Elephas maximus indicus: one gene and its partner. The protein of the gene in region 2 purifies or fractionates together with the protein of the main gene of each other region. This does not show direct contact. Links are inferred from orthologs where the notes say so. Each region holds a gene or a part of one and is shown on either strand. Other genes may lie near its edges.

Evidence for each region. Proteins that work in one complex are often made in the same cells at the same time.
Region 1: the proteins of POLR1F (region 2) and protein POLR1D-like purify together in Homo sapiens (affinity purification with mass spectrometry; 3 studies listed by BioGRID and IntAct, counting the BioPlex papers as one, with this or other methods). This does not show direct contact. The link is inferred for Elephas maximus indicus from reciprocal best matches to the Homo sapiens genes POLR1F and POLR1D.

What each region holds. Positions count from the first base shown.
Region 1 is NC_064841.1:59,712,059-59,722,375, reverse strand, and holds the start of protein POLR1D-like, read right to left. Parts: upstream 4,491-10,317; 5' UTR 4,432-4,490; coding exon 4,406-4,431; intron 3,410-4,405; coding exon of another isoform or gene 3,046-3,409; exon of another isoform or gene 1-3,045. Other genes in the region: POLR1D (DNA-directed RNA polymerases I and III subunit RPAC2), read right to left, coding at 3,046-3,409, 4,406-4,431.
Region 2 is NC_064826.1:80,613,052-80,623,172, reverse strand, and holds the start of POLR1F (DNA-directed RNA polymerase I subunit RPA43), read left to right. Parts: upstream 1-6,208; 5' UTR 6,209-6,281; coding exon 6,282-6,535; intron 6,536-10,121. UniProt on the Homo sapiens protein: Component of RNA polymerase I (Pol I), a DNA-dependent RNA polymerase which synthesizes ribosomal RNA precursors using the four ribonucleoside triphosphates as substrates.

The sequences.
Region 1 (10,317 bases), on a different chromosome or scaffold from region 2:
GAAAATGGGAAGTGCTAGTCAAGTATTAAGAATTATTATCTTTTAAAAGCCTTTGGTATATAATCATATTATTTAATAATTGACTCATTACTTTAAAGCCAAAAACAATTTCTGATCTTGATCATTAATATTAGTTCATTTCGAGTGAAATGTCATTACGGAGCAAATCAGAGAGATACTGCTCGAGTTATTTTGTATGCACGTGTGTGCACACATACAGACACACACAGGTATCTCAACTACTAGCTGAAAAGTTCAATTCAAACCCACCCAGAGGCGCCCGGCAATGTTTCTGCTTCCGCAAGGTCAAAGCCTTGAAAACCCTATGGAGCAGCTCTCTGCACATATATTTATGACAACATATATGTTATATATCATATGTTGTCTTACATACAATTCATGTCCATCTCCCTCACCCTTTTTTTGACCAATTCAGTCTTCCCTCAGGTTTCTACAGATTTTATGGAAGTAAGATTCCTTCCTCCTTCCAGATGTGCCTTTTGGTTATCTTGCCTGCCCTCAGTTTTCCCCCTTCTGCCTTCTGAAGGTGCTCATTTTCTTCCACTGGCCACCTACAGATTCAAGACAGCACTCCACATTATCAGTGACACTAAATCCCAGTTGAAGCAATGAAGTCACGTGATGCATCAGTGGTCACCAGTGGGTGTCTTTCCCACGGGTACTGGTAAGAATGACTCAGCCTGTATCATTCTACGCCTCTAGGTTGACTTATTGAACCATGGTGCAGTGGTTAACCAGTCAGGCTGCTAATCAAAGGCTGGCAGTTCGAATCTACCAGCTGCTCCTTGGAAACCCTATGGGGCAATTCTACTCTTCCCTATGGGGTTGTTATGAGTCAGAATTGACTTGACGGCAACAGGTTTTTGTTTTGTTTACATCTTCCAACAGGCCTTGGTTCAGAGGTACTAAACTCTGTTTACTATTCCCATAGGGCTACTCATAGGCAAAATTTTGTAAGAGGCAGAGAAGGTTTTGAACCTCTTCCACCTATCCCTTTAGGGCATCTTTGAGTGCTAATTCCCATAAACTGACATTGGTTTTCCAGAATCCATGACTGTCACCCAAAGAATATTCCCTATCCTTGCTCCATGTCTTTAATCTTTCTCATTCCTGCTCCCATCTAAACTTACCTCTCCAGTGTCCTTTGTGTGTTTTCTTTATTGGGAAACCCAAACTAAGCCATTCTTTTGTTCAATGAATGCTAATGTTTGTTTACCCTTCTTAGGCACTAATGTTGCCCATTGCCCAAAAACCTCCAGAACATTAACTCCAATTGACATTTTTCTGTCCTCTTGATTTCATTAACATCACTCTCATCTTTCAAAGTATTGGCTCCCACAAGTTCACTCAAGTTAGTAGATTTGAGTGAATGAAAGGCTACGTGCCATAATTACATACATAGGTTCATCCAGTATTTATTAAATGTCCACTATCGTTTTTTTCTCGGTTAGGCATTACGCCAGGCAATGTGATCACGAGTTAGTATACCAGGAAGACAGACAAATAAAAGCACTAACAGTAGCACAATAAACATTAAGACAAGGAAACATAGGGTGTAATGAAAGCACTTAAGCACCCAAACTAGGATGGGGAGTCTGATGTGTAAGTTTTGACCTAGAGTACGGAGGGACTAAGTGTTCCAGGAAGCGGAACAACATAAAGGCCCCAAAGAGCACTGCGGCGGGGGAGGGGGGGATGGAGGCTAGAGTGCTTGGGTCCAAGGGTTGACATGTATTTAGGGTCAATGAAGAGTCGAGCTGGGCGGGGGTGGGACAGGCACAAGAGACAAACTGAAGAGGTAGACAGGACAGATTTTGGATGGGATTCACTAATATTTCAAGTTTTCTGGAAAAGTTATTTTCCCTAGACAGAATTTTCCTTCTTACTTTCTCTTGAACGATGCTTTTTCTACGTAAACCTGAGTTATTCTTAGAGACCTATCTAAGAACTGAAAAGGTTACCTAGACATTTCAGTTTTCTCTTCCTTGGAAACCCTGGTGGCATAGTGATTGAGTTCAGCTGCTAATCAAAAGGTTGGCAGTTTGAATCCACCAGATGCTCCTCGGAAACTCTGGGGTACTTCTACTCTGTCCTATAGGGTCACTATGAGTTGGAGGTGACTAAACAGTAATGAGTTTAGTTTGATATAATAAAAACCTTTTGGCCAACTTAGGTCATTTTCTTTTTTTTATGGTAAATATATATGTAACAACACATTTGCCTTTTCAACATTCTTCAGTGTACAATTCAGTGACATTATTTATGTTTATCCTGTTGTTCAACCACCACCATTATTCATTTCCAAATTCTCCTATCACTTTTATACTTAGGGCATTTCTGACTAAATATTTTATCAGTATCCTGAAATTCAAGCAAGAAACTGGCATCTATTCTATAAGAGCTCCCACAAAGATGGAGCCTGACACCACCTAAAACTCTCATGGGAAAGCAAAACTCATAAAATTCTTTCAAATTATCCCCCAACCTTGCCCAATACTGCAAAGGCTGCAATTCTCTAAATATATATATATACACACATACATATCTATATATATATATCTATCAAGAAACCAAATTTTCCTTTCCTTTCCTTTTTTTCAATCAACCAGTCTATCTGGGGCTATGTTCTACTGCCCTTCCTCCTCCAAATCACAGCCATGAATGTGTACTCCTTTTAAGTCCTATGATCAAAGTCCTTGTCTAAGGCCTGGTTTCCTTATAGTTTCCTCACTATCAGTACTGGCTCAGCTAAAAGAAAAAGAAAATTCATCCTTGGGTATCATTTGGCTACAAATAACAGAAACCACTCAAACCAGTTTAAATAAGAGGGAATTTATTCAAAAGAATACAAAAATACTTGCAGGGAATCCAACAGCTGCAATGGGTCAATAGCTAGAAGCACACCTTTCTGAAGGCTAGATCATGCTTTAATCACACAATTCTACTTCTGGGTTGTGCATGATCGTGAAGAAAATATCCTAGAGTATCCTTGTCATATGGTGCATAAGGGGCTAGAATGTAGACTCATTTCTGATTGCCTTTTTGGTCCTTATAGTCCTTTATGCTTGCCTCAAACTTGTCAAGCACATGTTGGCAGACACTCATGAGCTCATTCAGGCCTCTCTGAAACAGCTCAACGGCTGGAAGACCACCTCGTGTCTGAATGCGTAAATTGATTTTGCTCTCTGAAGGATGGGTCGTAGTGTAACCACAAAATTCCACTTCTGGGTTCTTCATGATCATGTAACGAAGAGAATTTCCTAGGGTATGGTCCTCTTCGTGCAATACAAATGTCACACAGTGTCTATCTGTTCCAGCTGCCTGGACCATTTCCAGGGCAGTCTTCCTCTCGCCTTCAGCCACTGAGGTCTTCGATCCTTGTGTTTTTCTACACACACATTTTTTATAAAAATGAGATCATACTGAATAGTTTTCATGACTAGCTTTTTTTCATTTACCAATCACAATTACAACACATTTTTACTCTAATCCACTCCAACCACACAGAACTATTTATTTGTCTCTTATTTTCCTGCCTCGGCAAATTCATTTAACCAATATTTAAATTACTGCCTCCAGTTTCTCCCTACTCCATTTGACCCTCCATAGGGACACAAGGAGAGCCTTCTTAAGGCACAAGCATAAATGTTTGCTAAAATATTATTTTGGTAGAGTCACAAGAAAGAGATAAGATTAGAATAGGGTGGGCCCTGCTGGAGGATGAAGAGGGCACCGAAAGTGATAGGAAAAAAAATACTGCTTAAGTGTAAATGTCAGATTTAAGTCCACAGATTATCGACATGCAGGCCCAGCTATGGCTTCCATTTGCAAGAGGTAAGGAAACTAGAGGAATGGAAGGTCTGAGAATAGTCAAGCAGGAGGGAGAAAAAGAACTCAGCACATAGAGAAGTGGCTTTACTAACAGTCTGCACAGAGAAGCTCGGGAGCAGTAAACACAGGACTTGCTTGGGTCTGTGCGAACACCCCAATACCATCCACTCGGGAACAGTGGCCTGGTGCGGAATGTCACCCGTTAGTTTTATTTATTCCTGCTGTTCTAAGGCGGGAGGAGCAGCTCGGGGGCTTTGCTCTGGTCTCATAACTTGTCTCCCCTCCTTGATAGCTACCAGTCTACGGAGCGTGTCCATTCAAGCCATCCATGTCTCTCACCCTCTCTCTCTTCCCCATGGCGGGCCCCCTCTCCACCCAGGCGTCCACGTCTATCCCCCTTTCCTCTCTTCTCGGAGCCCCGGGTCAGGCCCATCCTGCCAGGCCGGGCGCGGAGGCCGAGGCCCCGGCCTGGCCGCGCGCCTCCTGCCACCGGCTCTCCGGCCCGAGCGCAGCCCGCTCCTCCTGCCCGCTCGCCCGCCTCTTGGGCCGTTACCTCTCCAGCTCCTGGTCGTCCTCCATCGCGGCGGCAGGTTCCGGGCTCCTCAGGCGGTGCTGGCGGACCGGAGGCTCTGCCCCATACCGCGCAACGTGCAGGCGAAGCAGGAAGGAAAGACCGACGGAAGGAGGGGAGACGGAAGGAGAGAGGAGGAGCCGCTTCGGCGCGGCAGGGCCCGGCCGCTGGGCGGAGCTTAGAGGCTCCGCCCCGGCCCCGCCCCCGGCGCGAGGGGGGCGAAGGCGCGAGGCCCGCCCTGCTCACCTGGTGCTCCCCCGGCAGCCTGTCCGCAGAGCGGGAGGGGCGGAGAGGTGGGGTCCGGCGAAGGCCTTACAGTGAGGCCGGATACAGGCCGGTGTATGCCGGAGCTCAGCCCTGGGCACCTTCCCCCAGGTGAGGGCCAAGGGGGCGGGGCCTCACCTGCCGCCCCCTAATCACCTTTCTTAAGAGTCAGGCCTCTTTCTGTCTTGCTGTTAGACCCATGAGGATAGTGTTGCTCCCAGGCTGGCCCCTCCCGGCACCCCAACCCTCAAGGGGCTTTCATGGGACGACCCTAGGAGCACTCAGCGGGTACTGAGGTCTCTGTAGATCGCATTAAGTTTATCAATACACTTTTTAAGAAAGGAAGGAGGTAATGTGGAAAGAGAAGAATTTCAAACAAAATGGTTTCAGACAGTATTTGTCTCGTCGGAGATCTTGCAGTTGCACAACGTCTCGATTAGGCCAAAGGACACGCGTTTGCCTTTATCTTGGGGGAGTGAGAGTTTGCAAGAAAACTGGTTTTCCCCCTTTCTACCCCTAGAATACGTCCATCCCCGCTTTGGGCTTCTTTCCTCCCTTATCCTTTTGGCTCCTTAAACAACCTCACCTGCGGAACCTCCCTCTCACCTTTGTTCCCAGGTGCCCTGCCCCCGCCTCTGCAACCTTTCACCACCCGGAATCGGAGCTCTCCGCCCGCTTTCTTCCTTCGTTTCGCGTCTCTTCGTCCGCTCAGGTGCTCTTGTTCGTCAATAACCGGTTCTCCCTTCCCACTCTTCCGCTCCCAGCACCTCCCTTGCCCCCCGTCAGGCCCTGTCCACACCCCAGCTGTCCTCTCCCAGCACACCTACATTTCTTTTTCCTGCACCACCTGTTCTTGCCTCCCTCCAGATTTCCCTATATTTCCATCTCTCCCCCAGCTGTCCCATTCTCCTTGCGGCACTCGGGCATCGGGGACTCGTGCTGAGACACTTCCCGACCGCGTCTTTAGCAGGGAAATCAGGCAGGCGGCGGGGACAACCCTGACGCGGTGGGGGAGGGACGGCGGCGAGCGGGCTCACTCTAACCCGTGAGTGACGGCCCCTTCCTGACCCGCCCCCGGCGCACTCGGATAGGTGGAGCCGCCGTCTGGCCCGCCCCTTCCCCGCCCTGGGCGGCCGTGGATTGGCCCCGGTGCGTGTCAGGTTGGGCGATTCGGCCCCGGCGCTCGCCCCCGGGAAGACAGCAGGGGCGGTTGAGAAGTGAAGTCTTGGCCAGAGTTTGGTTCTTGCCAGGAAATCCGCGGCGGCGGCTGGAGGCAGCGGCCACGGCGGCGATTCCCGGCGAAGCGGCGCCGGGCTCGCTTCCCGCTCCTTCCGCGGGCTGCGGAGAGCGGGAGCCAGCGCGGGGCTGAGGCGCCGGGAGCTGAGCGCGCCGGACAGCCGTGCTTCCCAGTAAGTAACTTTGCCCGCCGCCGCGTCCGCTCTCTCAGGTGCCAGCGCGCTTGGCGCGGGCGGGAGGCTCGCGTGCAGGGAGCTGCGGGAGCCGCCGCACCGGGAACGGCGCCCAGCCTCCCCTCCCGGCGCGCCCCTCGCCGGCGGCGCTCTGGCTGCCTGGTGGAGCCGCGCCCTCCGCGGGTCTGCTCCCTCGCTCGCCCGGTAGCGGAGGGGACCTGGGCCGCACTTGCCGGCCCCTCGAGCGGACCCGGCGTGGGGGCCGGCCGCGCTTGTCCGGGACGGAAGTCCGAATGCCCTGCGGCGGTGCCGGCTGGAGCGGCGGGCGGCCCCGGGCTGGTCCCCTTGGGTGGTTTCGGCCGCTGCGTTACTGATCTCGGCGTCGTTTGCTTTTTTTAGGGAGGGGAGAGGTGGGGGTGAGCTTTTTATTTCCCGTACCTGTGCTATAGGGGAGGATGAGAGTGGTACGAGCTGCCTTCGCATCCGATCTGGTTCCCCTGGAAAGGGAGAGACAGGGAGAGCGCATACCCCTGTCCCAGCCTGTTGCCTGTTCTCTTCTTACCTTTCGGTTTAGGCTGCAGGGGGTGGGAGAACGATTTGCCATCTTCGAGGTGGGAATTTCAAAGTACAGATCTTGATTTGGAAGCAGCTGCGTGCAAAGCACGGTTTAGGAAATACACCACTCATTTTTCGAAGCTTTTTTCCACGTTTTAAGCCAAGGACTTTTGACCTCTATGTAGGGTTTCTTATGGTGTTTCAGTTTGTATTAAAGGTTGTACATCCTGATGTTCACATCTTCCAGAAGCTAAAGTCAGTTCCTGTATGGGGCTTCACTGTGTAGGTTATTCTTTTGAAATCACAGAGATCAGAGACGAGGTGAGATCAAGTGCAGTGGCAGTTCTGCAGGGGAAAACAGTTGGGAACTATGTATTATTGGCACTGCCTTCACTTTAAGAATTCCGTATTCTTGCATCAATAGTACTTAATGTAAATTGGCCTTCGTCCCAGGATAGATTTTCATTTGTCTCTTGCATGTGCTGTGACTAAGTGCTGATGGAGCTGGATCTCAGTAGATCAATTTTATTTATTTTGGTAGATTTGATTCCAACCCTCATTCCTCCCCCACTTTGGAAAATGTACTTTGGCAAGTAAAGAAGGAAGAGGGGAATCTGGTATCTTCTTTGGTTTGTCAGAGCTTTGTTGAGCCATGAGTAACAACGTTTTGCCTTTTTAGTTGGTCCAAGTCACAAATGTGCATTTTCCCAGAGGGGTCAAATGTAGGCCAAATCTGAACCAAAGTAGAATAACCCATTTGTAATTCAGCCCACTGATGTGCTCACATTCCTAATTTTGTATCTCATTCCTCTCCTTTTCTCATCAAGTTAGAAATTTTTCATTCTTTCTTCAGTTATCAAAGGATGGCATACTACTGCATGCCACGTGTTGATGGCCAGGGGCAGCCTTGCCCTGGAGTTGCTCACAGTCTCATTTGGAAGCTGATACAGACCAGTGTTCTATTAGTTATCTGAAGGTAATTTGAACATAGTGGTGCAGAAACTCAGAAGAGGGAGCAAATTCTGTCTGGTTGGGTTAGGATTTTGCCAACTATATTCTAGGCAGAGGAACTAACATATATGCCACTTGCAAATACTTGTATCTTTGGGGTGTTGCTATATGAAGCCTGCATATGGTCAGTCTGGCTGAAGGACAGTGTCTGGGTTTCAGGTAGTAGCCCCTGGCTGGTACGTTACTCTTTTTGGAGCAGTTAGCACTTTGCATTGCTCACAGTGGGCGGTCAAATACTTCGTAAACTGATTTTAACAGAAACATGAAGCATTTTGTAAACCAAATTAAAAAATTTGGACTTTATTCAGTCAGTGATACAGAGCTGCTAATGTTAATTTGGACAGTGTCATGATAACATTTCCATACCCAGAAAGATACAGGTTTTCCCTGCTATTCCAAAGAAGAGTGTTCCTGTGAAACCTTTTGTAAGCTAAAATGGCATAAAGCAAAGAAGCAATTACCTTTAACTTCTATGGAAAATTTTTTGCACATTCCCAGACCCAAAAAATAACCTACCAAATCATACCAAATAACATATAAAGCCTAAAATAACACTAACATGTAGTAAAAGCAGGAATGATATGACAAGTACACTGCCTGTATAAAGTAGAAATAATGTATGGTGTAGTTTCACTTAGCAGAATCGGGAAGACAGTGAACATACCGGAAGGCTGAGAGGTGGTGGTGGTGATGGTAGAAGCCCCTGTAACCTGGTTATGGCTACTTGATGCTGAGTGTAGTTCCCAGGGAAGGAGTTGGTGACGCCACTCTCACTGCTCAGAATACACGCTACCTCTGTAAGGGTTTGCTGCAAAACAAACACCGAAAGCTATTTCTGCTTTTTGCCTTTTTTTTTTTTTTTCATGAAAGCGAAAATCCTCTTCTGATTTCTTTCGGTTAGCGAAAACAGGTACTAACGTAGGTCTTTCATAAAAGCAAACTGGCATAAAGGGAACTTTAGAAAAGTGGGGCATTCCTGTATCTCTGCCATAGCCTAGAGGATGGTGAGGATCTGGATGGGACATAGAAAGCACAGTAGGAGGCTGTTACAGGAAGTTCCAGCCTCAGAGCTCCTCATTCTGGACCCAAATGGCCCGGATTTAAATTTGGCTCTGTCACTAACTATGTAACCTCTTTGTTCATTAGTTTCTTCATCTCATAGGACTTGGGGGATAAAACTTGATCAAACATGTGCATTCCCTAGCCCCTAGCATAGGGCTTAGCACATAGTAAACCTGTTGTCATCGAGTCGATTTCGACTCACAGCGACCCTATAGGACAGACTAGAACTGCCCCATAGAGTATCCAAGGAGCAGCTGGTGGCTTTGAACTGCCGACTTTTTGTTTAGCAGCTTAACTCTTAACCACTGAGCCCCATAGTAAGCACTTAGTAAATGCTAGTTATTATTCTGTATGAAGACAGTGGGAGTGGCATTGAGAAGGTATGCTTGACTATACTTGGTAAGAGACTCAAACCCAACTAGATATGATTAATGAGAGAAGGGTGATTCCTTGGTTTTTTTTTTTTTTTTTTTTTGTCTCGACGCACTGGAGTGTACTGGTTGAGCTGGCTATAGATTCAAAACAGTGTTCGAATTTCACTTCCGCAATCATCACCAGAGTTGCTATCCAGAGCTTTGGTTTCCTAATAGTTAGGAAATGAGCCTAGTGCCTGACTAGTAGGGTTTGAAGATCAAATGAAATTACGCATGAAATGCCCTTGGCAGAGAACCTAGTATACTCTAAGTGCCAGATAAATATTAGTTGTTCCTTTAGTGATGATGACATTAATAAGCTAGTGGAACATTGTAGCATATGAGAAGGAGCAGCTAAAAACAATTGATGGTAGAGTTGGGGAAGAGAAGATAATTATTCGGTTTTGGACCAACCCGATGAGGTACTAATGGATAGCTGAGATGTCCACGATGTAGTTGTTGGATAGAGGTGTCCAACAGGAGCTTTGAAAAAATAGGAAGAAATATATTTTCTTACATAAAGCCTTTGTGGGTGGGGTAAGCTTTATTGGAGATTTGGGAGAAGAAGAGGGATTTATACTGTAACAATGCCTGTGTTGATCATTGAGTATTAGGCATCTCTACCCTTAAAATACGTTTGTACCACTGATGACAGGAACTCCAGGCTCTGAAATCTGGCTCTTTCCCCCACCACTTTCTTTCCTTCTTTGCCCCTCTTTCTGATTGCCTCTAGAATCCAAGTACTTTTTATTATGTAGTGGTGTCTTAGTTATCTAGTGCGGCTATGGCAGAAATACCACAGTGGATGGCTTTAACAAAGAGAAGTTTATTCTCTCACAGTTCAATAGGCTAAAAGTTTGAATTCAGGGCACGGGCTCCAGGGGAAGCCTTTCCCTCTCTGATGGCTCTGGAGGAAGGTCCTTGTCATCAGTCTTCCCTGGCCCAGGAGCATCTCACCACAGGAACCTCAGGTCCAAAGGACGTGCTCTGCTCCGGACACTGCTTTCTTGGTGGTGAGGTCCCCAGCTCTCTGCCTGCTTCCCTTTCCTTTTATCTCTTGAGAGAGGAAAGGTGGTACAGGCCACACCCCAGGGAAACTCCCTTTACATTGGATCAGGGAGGTGACCTGAGTAAGGGTGGTGTTACAATCCCACCCTAATCTTCTGAACATAAAATTACA
Region 2 (10,121 bases):
ATGCTTCCAAATGCTTCTTTCTTGGTGGTATGAGGTCCTCCGTGTCTCTCTGCTCTCTTCTTTCTTTTATATCTCAAAAAAGATTACCTTAAGACACAATCTTGTAGATTGAGTTCTGCCTCATTAACATAACTGCCGTTAATTCCATTTTGTTAACACCATACCCACCGATTTGTAACACATAGGAAAATCTCATCAGATGACAAAACGGTGGACAGTCACACATACTGGGAATCACAGTCTAGCCAAGTTAACATACATTTTTGGGGGACACAATTCAATCCATAATACAGACACTGAAAAATCTTGTCCAAAGTTAGTGACTAGTGGTTGACAGACGGGGGTTTGAAACCAGGCTGGATTATTGCACGATGATTCTTTATAGCCTTCCATGAAGCAATGCCCCCCACCCCGCCACCCCATCACTATGGGAGGCAATTTGTTGAGGACATCAGGGTATGTCGAAAACAAGCACTGGCTTTGAGTATGGGCTCAATCACTAACCCATTATATGGTCTTGCACATACTGCTTAGATTTTCTGAACTGCAGTCCCCATACCCCCCAAGACTGGTGATAGGTCTTTTAGAATTATTTAAGGATTTAATTTGTAAATGTCAATTGCCCAACACATAGTGAACACTCAGCAAGCAGTATTACAATGTACATTATCTATAAACCAAAACCAAACCAAACTTGTCACCGTCCGGTCAATTCCAACTCAGAGTAGAACTGCCCCATAGGGTTTCCACGGAGTGACTGGCAGATTCGAACCGCCAACCTTTTGGTTAGCAGCGGAGCTCTTAACCACTGTGCTATCAGTGCTATTTCTTATATTAATATCATTTATTTAACATGAAATAAGGGAAAGGTGGACACAGATCAACATTTCACCTGAAAGGTGAGGTCATTTCTGGTTATGACTCTGAATCTTGAAGCCCTTCAACCAAGTCATGCAACATGTGTTTAAACTTAGGTCCATAAAGCAAATCACGACTTGATTCCGTATAAACCACCTGCCGTCCTTTACTTGTTCTGCTTCTTCTGATGCCAAATCTAAATTTCTGATTCTGTGACCCCTGCCCTGATTGCAGTTTCTGGCCCCTGCACTTGAACCTGAGACCTCATTTCTCCAGTTGTCAAGCTTTGACTGCTACCCCCACTCACTTCATTGTGGACACTTGGGATTGTTTAATAGGACTCCCTACGCCTGAATTAGGCAGTGAAATCTAAACTCGGTCACTGAGCCAGCAGCTGCTAGCGACACAGTGACTTCAACAGTGTCGATCATCTCTTAAAGAGACATATGCTCAAATCAGAAAGAGAAATTCAAAGGAAGGATGTTGGATAACTAATGAGAAAGCTTGAGCTTCCTTTTCCTTGAATGTAAACAGGTCAGAACATCTAGGAGGTCATTTGGAGGGAGACAGGGAGCTATAAGGAGGAACTCAGGCAAGATTATTTTTTCCTTGCACTTGATTGACGGAAGTGGACCAGTGAGCGACAGAGAAAACGAGTTCTGTTATGAACAATTCCTGCCCTTAAATGTCAGATATGTAGTTTCCCTGTGTGTGCTGGTAGTCTCCTTTTTTCTTCTTTTCAATCTCTAGTTCAACCTATTCAACTATGCCAAGGAACAACAGAGAGAGAAATTTTATTCAGGCCAGAGCCAGCATTGTTGGTATCACCCTAGAGCTGATACAGTGCAAGCCAGGAGGAATCACACACGCACGCACACACAAAACACCAAAGGAAAGTGATATTCAGAGATTCCCACTGCCGTCGAGTTGATTCCGACACATAGCAACCCCACAGGACAAAGAAGAACTGCCTCACTGGTTTCCCAGGGCAGTGTGGAGTGGCTGGTAGGTTTAAATCACAAACATTTCGGTTCACAGTAGAGCATTTTAACCGAGCGACTTAACTTTAAACTCAGAGGGGTAAAACAAAATAAAAAACTCGTTGTCGTTGAGTGGATTCCAACTCACAGTGACTCCAGGCGTTACAGAGTAGAACTGCTCCACAGGATTTTCTTGGCTGTAATCTTAACAGAAGCAGACTGCCAGGCCTTTCTTCTGTGGCACTACTTGGTGGAATCGAACTGTCAATCTTTAGATTAGCATCGAGCAAACATCACTCACTTTGTACCACATAGTTGCTTTCATTTAGTCATCTGTGTTTCCCACCCAGAAATCCCCATTTTAGTGCAAAACTTGAAGTTACAGATGTTTATTTTACTAAGGAAACTGGCCTTTACCAAGAAACTTCTTCCTCTGTAAAGTTCTTCAGAGTACCCTGTTGCATTATTTCACTGCTGGGAGTCTTTCAGTCTGCACGAAGCCCACTGTGCCCCTGGATAAAGACCGATACATTACTGTAATAATTCCCAGCGCATAGAATAATTAAGAGCACCCTGAAGCTGAAGGAAGGAATCCGGATACAATGCATTAATATGCATCTTCTTTGGTCTTAAGACCAAGAGAAATTTACTCTTAAGTGAAAGTAAATTGTGCATCAAAATATACCACATCTCAGTTTTATTTTTATTTACTTTCTATCCTCAAACTTTTCCTACCATGTTCTTTGGAGACATTTAATGTCAGGGATCTGGGACTTCACACCCACACAAACTCTGCAGCTAGCAGGTGGTTTATTAAACTACAGCTTTAAAATAACCTTCAGAAAATAAAAAGGAAACTGTTGCTGACTTATTCTGCAGTGAGCTGAAGACAGATGGAAGTAAATGAGAATTTCCATAGGCGCCTTTTCAAGCACCATGGCTAATTTTACCAGCCAAACGCCTTGGGTTTGAAAACCTTGAAAGAGAGGTGTTGAAACTCAGTTGCAGTAAGGCCAGACTGGGGAGGAAATAGGGCCTTAGAAGAAATACTGACCTTGGTTTTCATAACAGGACCGTAAATTACGTAAAAAGGGCCTCATACCCCCAGAAATTAGACCTTTCTCTTCTGATTTTCTTTACTCTTTTCCGACTTCTGGAAACAATTGTGAATTGCAATTACACATGTGCACACACATATTTTCTAGTTAGTTTTGTCTCATTTGTTAAGTTAGAATTTAAAAAATCACTCTAAGGCTATCCCTTTCTGTACTATCCAAAGGGGAACATAGGCCGAAATTCATTCTGTGTAACAAACGTGTGAGAATGAACTTCTTCCTTTCTGGGTGTTTGTAAATTGTGTACCATTTTATGTTCATTATTTAGCAATCTTTACTGTGTTTTAACACTAAAGCAAATGAAACAGCTCATCAAGTGGTTGTTAATTATCAGTGTGTTTACATCAATTATACCTGAATAGAAACAATCAATTCAGGGCCTCTCCCCTGTATTTCAGGCCTCTTTTTTTTTTTTTTTTTTGACAGGCACTGTTTCTCAAACCTCAGCAGGAATTACATTCACCTGGAGAGTTGTTTACATGAGATTGGTGGGCTCCAGCTCCAGAGTTCTGCTTCACTAGCCTGTAGTGGGGCCTGAGAATGTGCCTCTCTAGTACATGCCCAGGTGCTGCTGATGCTGTTGGTCCAGGGATTTCACTTTGAGGACCACCAATAAAAGCACGCCTTATTTAAGGAGTTGGATCTTAATTTATAGACAGAGCCATTGGAATTACTTCATTTTTATGCATGTACAGCAACAGCTACCCTTTGTAAAATGCCAGATCTATGACATCCAATAAGATGTAGTATATGTGCTCCGTTATTGTTTTTCCCCTTCATTGTTTCTAAGCCTTCTATGAGCATGGTGTATATCAGTTAAGGTCTACAATTTAATAAGCAAGTAGGAGAAACTTTCAGAGTCAAAAACGGATCCTAAGACTTTTTAAAAAAAGATATTGTTGCTAAAAACAAGCAGTCAATAAACAGCTGCTCGATCTTTGCCATTCCTACAGCGTCTTGGTCTAAAGCGAAACATCACAATTTTAAAGTTCATGTTTGCCATCTGGTGACACACTTGTGAATTGCAAGTGGTCTGCGTCAACCAATCAGAAAACAAACAAACCTGTTGCTGTGGGGTGGATTGATATTATAGGACGGAGTAGAAATGCCCCGTAGGGTTTCCAAGGAGAGACTGGTGGGTTCGAACTGCCGACCTTCGAGTTAGCAGCCCAGCTCTTAACAACTGCCACCAGTGCCCCTCATGAACCAGTAGTTTTGTTACATATCTTTGTACAGATTTTTGTTCATTGTTTCTTCATTTCCAAAATCCATTAGGCACATTTCACACATTTTTCCCTAAAAGCGCTGTATTTCACAATTCATTAAATGGCTAACAGAAGACGATTTCCCTAACTGGATATATTTATTTCAAACAACTAGTTTGTATGAAAGCTGTTTTAATTCTTCATACGGACCAACAAAATCACAAATTGTATCTCAGAATGCATAGTGCATATATAGAATAAATTTTTTTAACAAAATATTTTAGGGAGATATAGCGAAATTAAATTACTTTAATCTGAATCAAATATTACATACATGATTCACTTATAATGGCAGTACACCGAGGAGGAGCTGAAATAATTATGCTAACAACACCAATCATAGCAAGGATTCATTAAGTTGCACATAGTTCTCTATGAGTTGGAACCGACTAGACCGCACCTAACAGTTAACACCGAAGCAAAAAAAAAAAAAAAAAAAAGATTTGGAGCCAAGACATACTCCAGGTTTTATGCATTCTTTAAATCTTCCTCTAAATTGAGGGCTCTAATTTTTTTTTTTTTTTATATATATATAGGGTTTATAGGGTCGCTATGAGTTGGAATCGACTCGACAGCACTGGGTTTGGTGTTTTGGTTTACCTGGTTATTCATTCAATAAGGGCATATATGTTCCTGGACCCAAGCTCAACTTCAGGGTCTTAGTTAGATTTAATTAAGCATATTATATTGAGGCACCAATCACGAACTGAAAAAAAGATATATTGTTGAGCACTTACTACAGGTCAGTCACTGGGTTTAGTACTCCACTATCATTATCTTGCTTAAGCCTCACAACTTCACTGTTTCATCTTATCTTTAAATTACAGGTAAGGACGTTGAAATTTAAAAAGAGGAAGCAAGTTTCTCAAGGCGCGAAAGCCCGGATTTGCACCTGGCTCCTATCAACCATGCCATATTGCCTGGATTGCTTTCTACAAAAGCGCCAGCACTCACTTTGGCTAAAACTTGTGCTTCTTCGACGCGTTCCCAAGCTGCTCTAGAGTGTCCTGACCATTAGGCCAGGTTTCCACAAGCAGAAGAAAGCCTGTTCTGTAGTTTGAGCAGTGAGGATGAACACAAGTCTCCTACTGGAGAGAGATTTCCGCAATTTGGGGTGATACAAGCCTTGGGGTGGATTAAATCGTAAGAGAGGTCTCAAAGGTGATAGCTGGGCTGAGCCACCTGGAAGGCCGTGGTATAGTTTGCTGAATTAGCGATTGTAGAATCCGGAGAGAAACTGAACTGAGAGACACCGAGGGCTCACTTTCAGGTGTGTTGCATTTGAGGATCTGAGCTGCTTTTCGGAAACCCTGGTGGTATAGTGGTTAAGTGCTACGGCTGCTAACCAAGAGGTCAGCAGTTTGAATCCGCTAGGCATTCCTTGGAAACCCTATTGGGCAGTTCTACTCGGTCCTATAGGGTCGCTATGAGTTGGAATCCACTCGACGGCAGTGGGTTTGGTTTTGGTTTGAGCTGCTTGCATAAAACACACTCCATAGACATTTATTGGTATATTACTGTACCGTCGAGGTTTATAAAACCCCATGACTACTAGCAATGATCAAGGTGGGACCCCCCCCACTAAACTTACACAGGACATCACACAAAACCCAGTGCATTCAAGTCAGTTCCAACTCATAGCGGCCCTATAGGACAGTCCTAACTGCCCCATAGAGTTTCCAACGAGCGCCTGGAAGATTCGAACTGCCAACCCTTTGGTTAGCAGCCGTAGCACTTTGGTTAGCAGCCATAGCGCTAAACCCCTATGCCACCAGGGTTTCCCTACGGGAAAGAAGCTAAAATAAATACTGTTAACCTTGCTGTCCAAAGCCTCGTTATTTGGCCTTCGCGCATGCTCAGCATCAACCAGTTTCGTAGCAGGCTGGCTTCGGAGCACAGAAAAGCGGTTGCCCCCTGCTGGTCAGTGCTCCGTAACGCAGCCCGAGAAGAGGAAATTGTTAGAGGCGGGGTACCTGTGGGATGACGTTTAAACAAGTCGTCGAGGGGAGAAAGCAGTTGTTCCTGCGTCAGTGGCGCGCGCCGTGGGAAACCTGACAAGCCTCATGGCTGCAGGTTGTTCGGCGGTACCGGGGCCAAAGGCTGCCTCCGAAGGGCCGGTGGTGGGACCGGCCGGCGTCCTGCCTTGTCTGGAGCTGCCAACCTACGCTGCCGCTTGCGCGCTGGTGAGTAACCACTACTCCTGCCTGGTGGCCGGGCCGCACCGGAGGCACATCGCGTTGTCACCGCGCTACCTCAACAGGAAACGCACTGGCATCCGAGAACAGCTCGACGCGGAGCTCCTGCGCTATTCGGAGAGGTACCAGTATCTTTGCTTTTTTCTTTTACTTTGGGGACAACGCCATAACGTAGCCTGAAGCCCCTTCTGGGTAGAGGAGGAGGGAACGGCGAGTGGTCCTGTCGATGGCGCAGCAGAAAAGGGGCAAATGGGGAAAGTCGCAGCTGCCCAACAGGAACTAGCTCCGGGGCATTCTGGGGTCCTGATCTACCCCCCAAAGCCAGTACCTGCCTGCGTGGTCGAGATCTTTCCAGGGCCCCTTTCGTAGTCAGGAAAGAAGACTGAAAGATGAAGTGATTGCCGTGGATTGGGGGGAGTGGAGAAGCTCACTCCTTAACAGTCTAGGGTCTGGAGACCTGGTAGATCAAGTTTCTTTGGCAATGAACGCATCATTTAGCTCCTTGCGGATAGCTTTCTCATTGGTCAAATGAAAGTTTGGAATGCAGTGCCTCAACAGAGTCTATGATTCTACAGAAAATTGCACGTGAAGCGTGAGCACAATCGTTTAATTATAAAACATAAAGGACGTTTTTGTTGTTTGTTATGTTTGCACTGATAACTACCCGTATTCTCTTCCCTTGGATCTAATCGGGCACGAGGGAAATACCATTAGTTTTGTTTCGTTTTTAAGAGCAATGGAAGCCTAACTGGTCTGCCTATTGCTCTTGAGGGGAAAAGCCCTCTGGTTCCTTTAAATTAAGGTGTTGAAAAGTCCTCTGAAAATTGAAAATCTACAGGTGGAAGAAAAATGCGCCTTAATACTCGACTAGACTACTTTGACTCAAAAACATGAGTTCTAAAGGTGAGGTTAATGGATTCTCTAGGAACTCATAGTAGCCCTTCAGGAATTCCATGACACCACCGCCGCTCCCCAGTTGCAGAAATTTCCTGTGTGAATTTCCTTGGGGAAAATATTCAAAACCTTTAACACTTTCTCCAGGGATCCTGGACCTAACACAGGTTAACAATCAATCACATCCATCAATCTTGTACAACTTCCTGCAAACACCAGCAAACATTTGCCCTGGCCCTACTGGCGACCTGGAAACCCTGGTGGCGTACTGGTTAAGAGCAACAGCTGGTAACCAGAAGGTCGGCAGTTCGAATCCACCAGGCCCTCATTTGAAACCCTATGGGGCAGTTCTACACTGTCCTATAGGGTTGCTATGAGTCGGAATCCTCTCAACAGCAACGGGATTATACTGGGGACCTGGTATGCAAAAACAAAAGCTAGATTCTTGTTTCAAGGAGTTTTAAGATTTAATAGAGGGATATAAATGTAAGCCAAATCTAGTTAAGTGTTAAAATTTGACATAAATCTCTATTATGTTATAGTAAGAAAAGGAGTGTGAGTTGGATTTTGGGAGTTTTGAGAATGACTTGACAGAGGGAGGATACTTTTAGATGGTAGTATTCCAAGTAAAGAGAGCGCCATGAACAATGAATAAAACCAAAATCCAGACCCATTGTGATGGAGTTGATTCTGACTCACAGCAACCATATAGAATAGAGTAGAACTGCTCCCTAGGGTTTCCAAGGAGGGGCTCATGGATTCGAACCGCTGACCTTTTGGTTAGCAGCCTAACGCTTAACCACTGTGCCACTAGGGCCCCAAACAATGGATTCAGATGTGAAATAGTATGCTGTGATGCAGGAACTGTAAGTACTACACAACTGGAATAAGGTTTTTATATCAGGGGAAAGCTATTGGGGTGCACTTGGAGAGGAGAGGAAGTCAAAGATGGGTGACTCAGAAAGGATCGTCATGTTTGCCTTTCTCTCTTTTTTTTTTTTTTGTTCTTGCTTTGTTTTGGGTTTTCCTTTCTTTTTTTTCTCAATGTGCTTAAACAGGACTAGCAGTTCATCCAACTCTGAGACTTGGCATACACTTGAGAGAGTCCCTGGGACATCATCAGATTTGCAGTTTTAGCAACCATACTTAATAGCATTAAATGATGGTTTAAGAAGGTTTAGGCAGTAGACACGGAGACCAATTAAGAGATTATAATCATTACAGAGAAAAATTAGAGGGGGTGGATTTGAGAGATTTGAGGATATACAAGGTGACATACATAAAATCTGGAAACAGACAACCATTTAATGTATTTTACTACTTTTCATAACCACTTAATGCCTTCACTTGACAGGGTAGGGGAAAGTTACCCTGCGTGGCTCAGGCAGAAGCTATTACACCAGAATGATTGCATAATAATTTAAGGAACCTATTAAATGATAATTTCTGGAACTGTTTTGGACCATTTAGCCATGTGGAGCAGGCTGCATCCTAAACAGACCTGCCTCACCCCTTCAGTTACTTGTGAGGTATGCTAAAGATGCAGGTTTATTCAGTGCACATCAGTTACAAGTCATGTGAGGCAATGTTAACACATGTATGTGTAGAAAGGCTTCATTAATGTGCCTAGTTCATGGTGATTGATGTCATGTGGTGAACTGTGCATTGCTACTGAGTGACAATACATTGCACATATCATGGGTTGTGGCATAATATTAATAAACCACTTATTTAGTATAGTTGTTTATGTTTTCAGACTTAATGGCCACCCGATACAATCAGGTAGAGGCTGAGGAAAGGGAGGAATTGAAAATGGCTCTCAAATTAGTTTTTAAGTCCTCTCAACAGTATTCCCTCACCTTTCTTTTCCCAGTAACGAGGTTTTTTTTCAAAGGTATCTCATTTCAACTTTGGGCTGTCTTTACTTAGACAAAGTAAGTAGTTTTCTAACATTGTGTGGCTTCTAACTTGTGCCTTTAAGGCCATTCAGAAAAAGGAGAGGGGAAATCTATCTGTGTTCCATATGACAGCTCTTGAATTAATTGACAGTGGCAAGTATGTTCCTCCTAGAAATTCAGATAAGTCTTAAATGTGTACTCTAAGCATCCCTTAAACTTGATTTTTCCCTAAATATCTCAAGTGAGGCAATCACGCTGCCTGGAAGCCTACTTAAGAAGGTTTCAGAAAAACAAAAGGAAAGAAGGAAAAGATATATAGTGTTGGAGTATCTGTCTTTGCATTTCTGGTGACCTTTAGTAACTTATATACTTTGAATTGCTTTCCCAAAAGTTTGATGGATTTATACAAATCTTTTCTACACCTAGGCTCTATTGTCACATTATCTTGTCAGCAGCTCCTCCTTTTTATAACTAATATTTTGCAGTGCCACCTTTACTATCTTACGGTGTCCTCTTTACTATGCAGAAATAAAATGTAAAGATAATATAACCCACCTACACAATTTTACGGAATCCCTGGCTGGTGCAGATGGCTAAGTGCTAGATTATTAGCTTAAAGGTTGGTGGTTTGAACCCACCCAGAGGCACCTTGAAGACAGGCCTGGCGGTCTGCTTCAGATAGTTCACAGCCTTGAAAACCCTGTGAAGCAGTTCTGCTCTCCGTACACGGGGTCACCATGAATCAGAATCTACTGGTCGGCAGCTACAACAACAATGCAATTCCAAAAAAAACTACGTGGCGCTCTAATACGATATAATAAAATGTATTTCAGCATGCTAATGCTCAGGGATGACTACACGGAAAGACTGAAGTGGTTAGATGTCGCATCAGAGACATGGGGACTGCGTCAGTTAC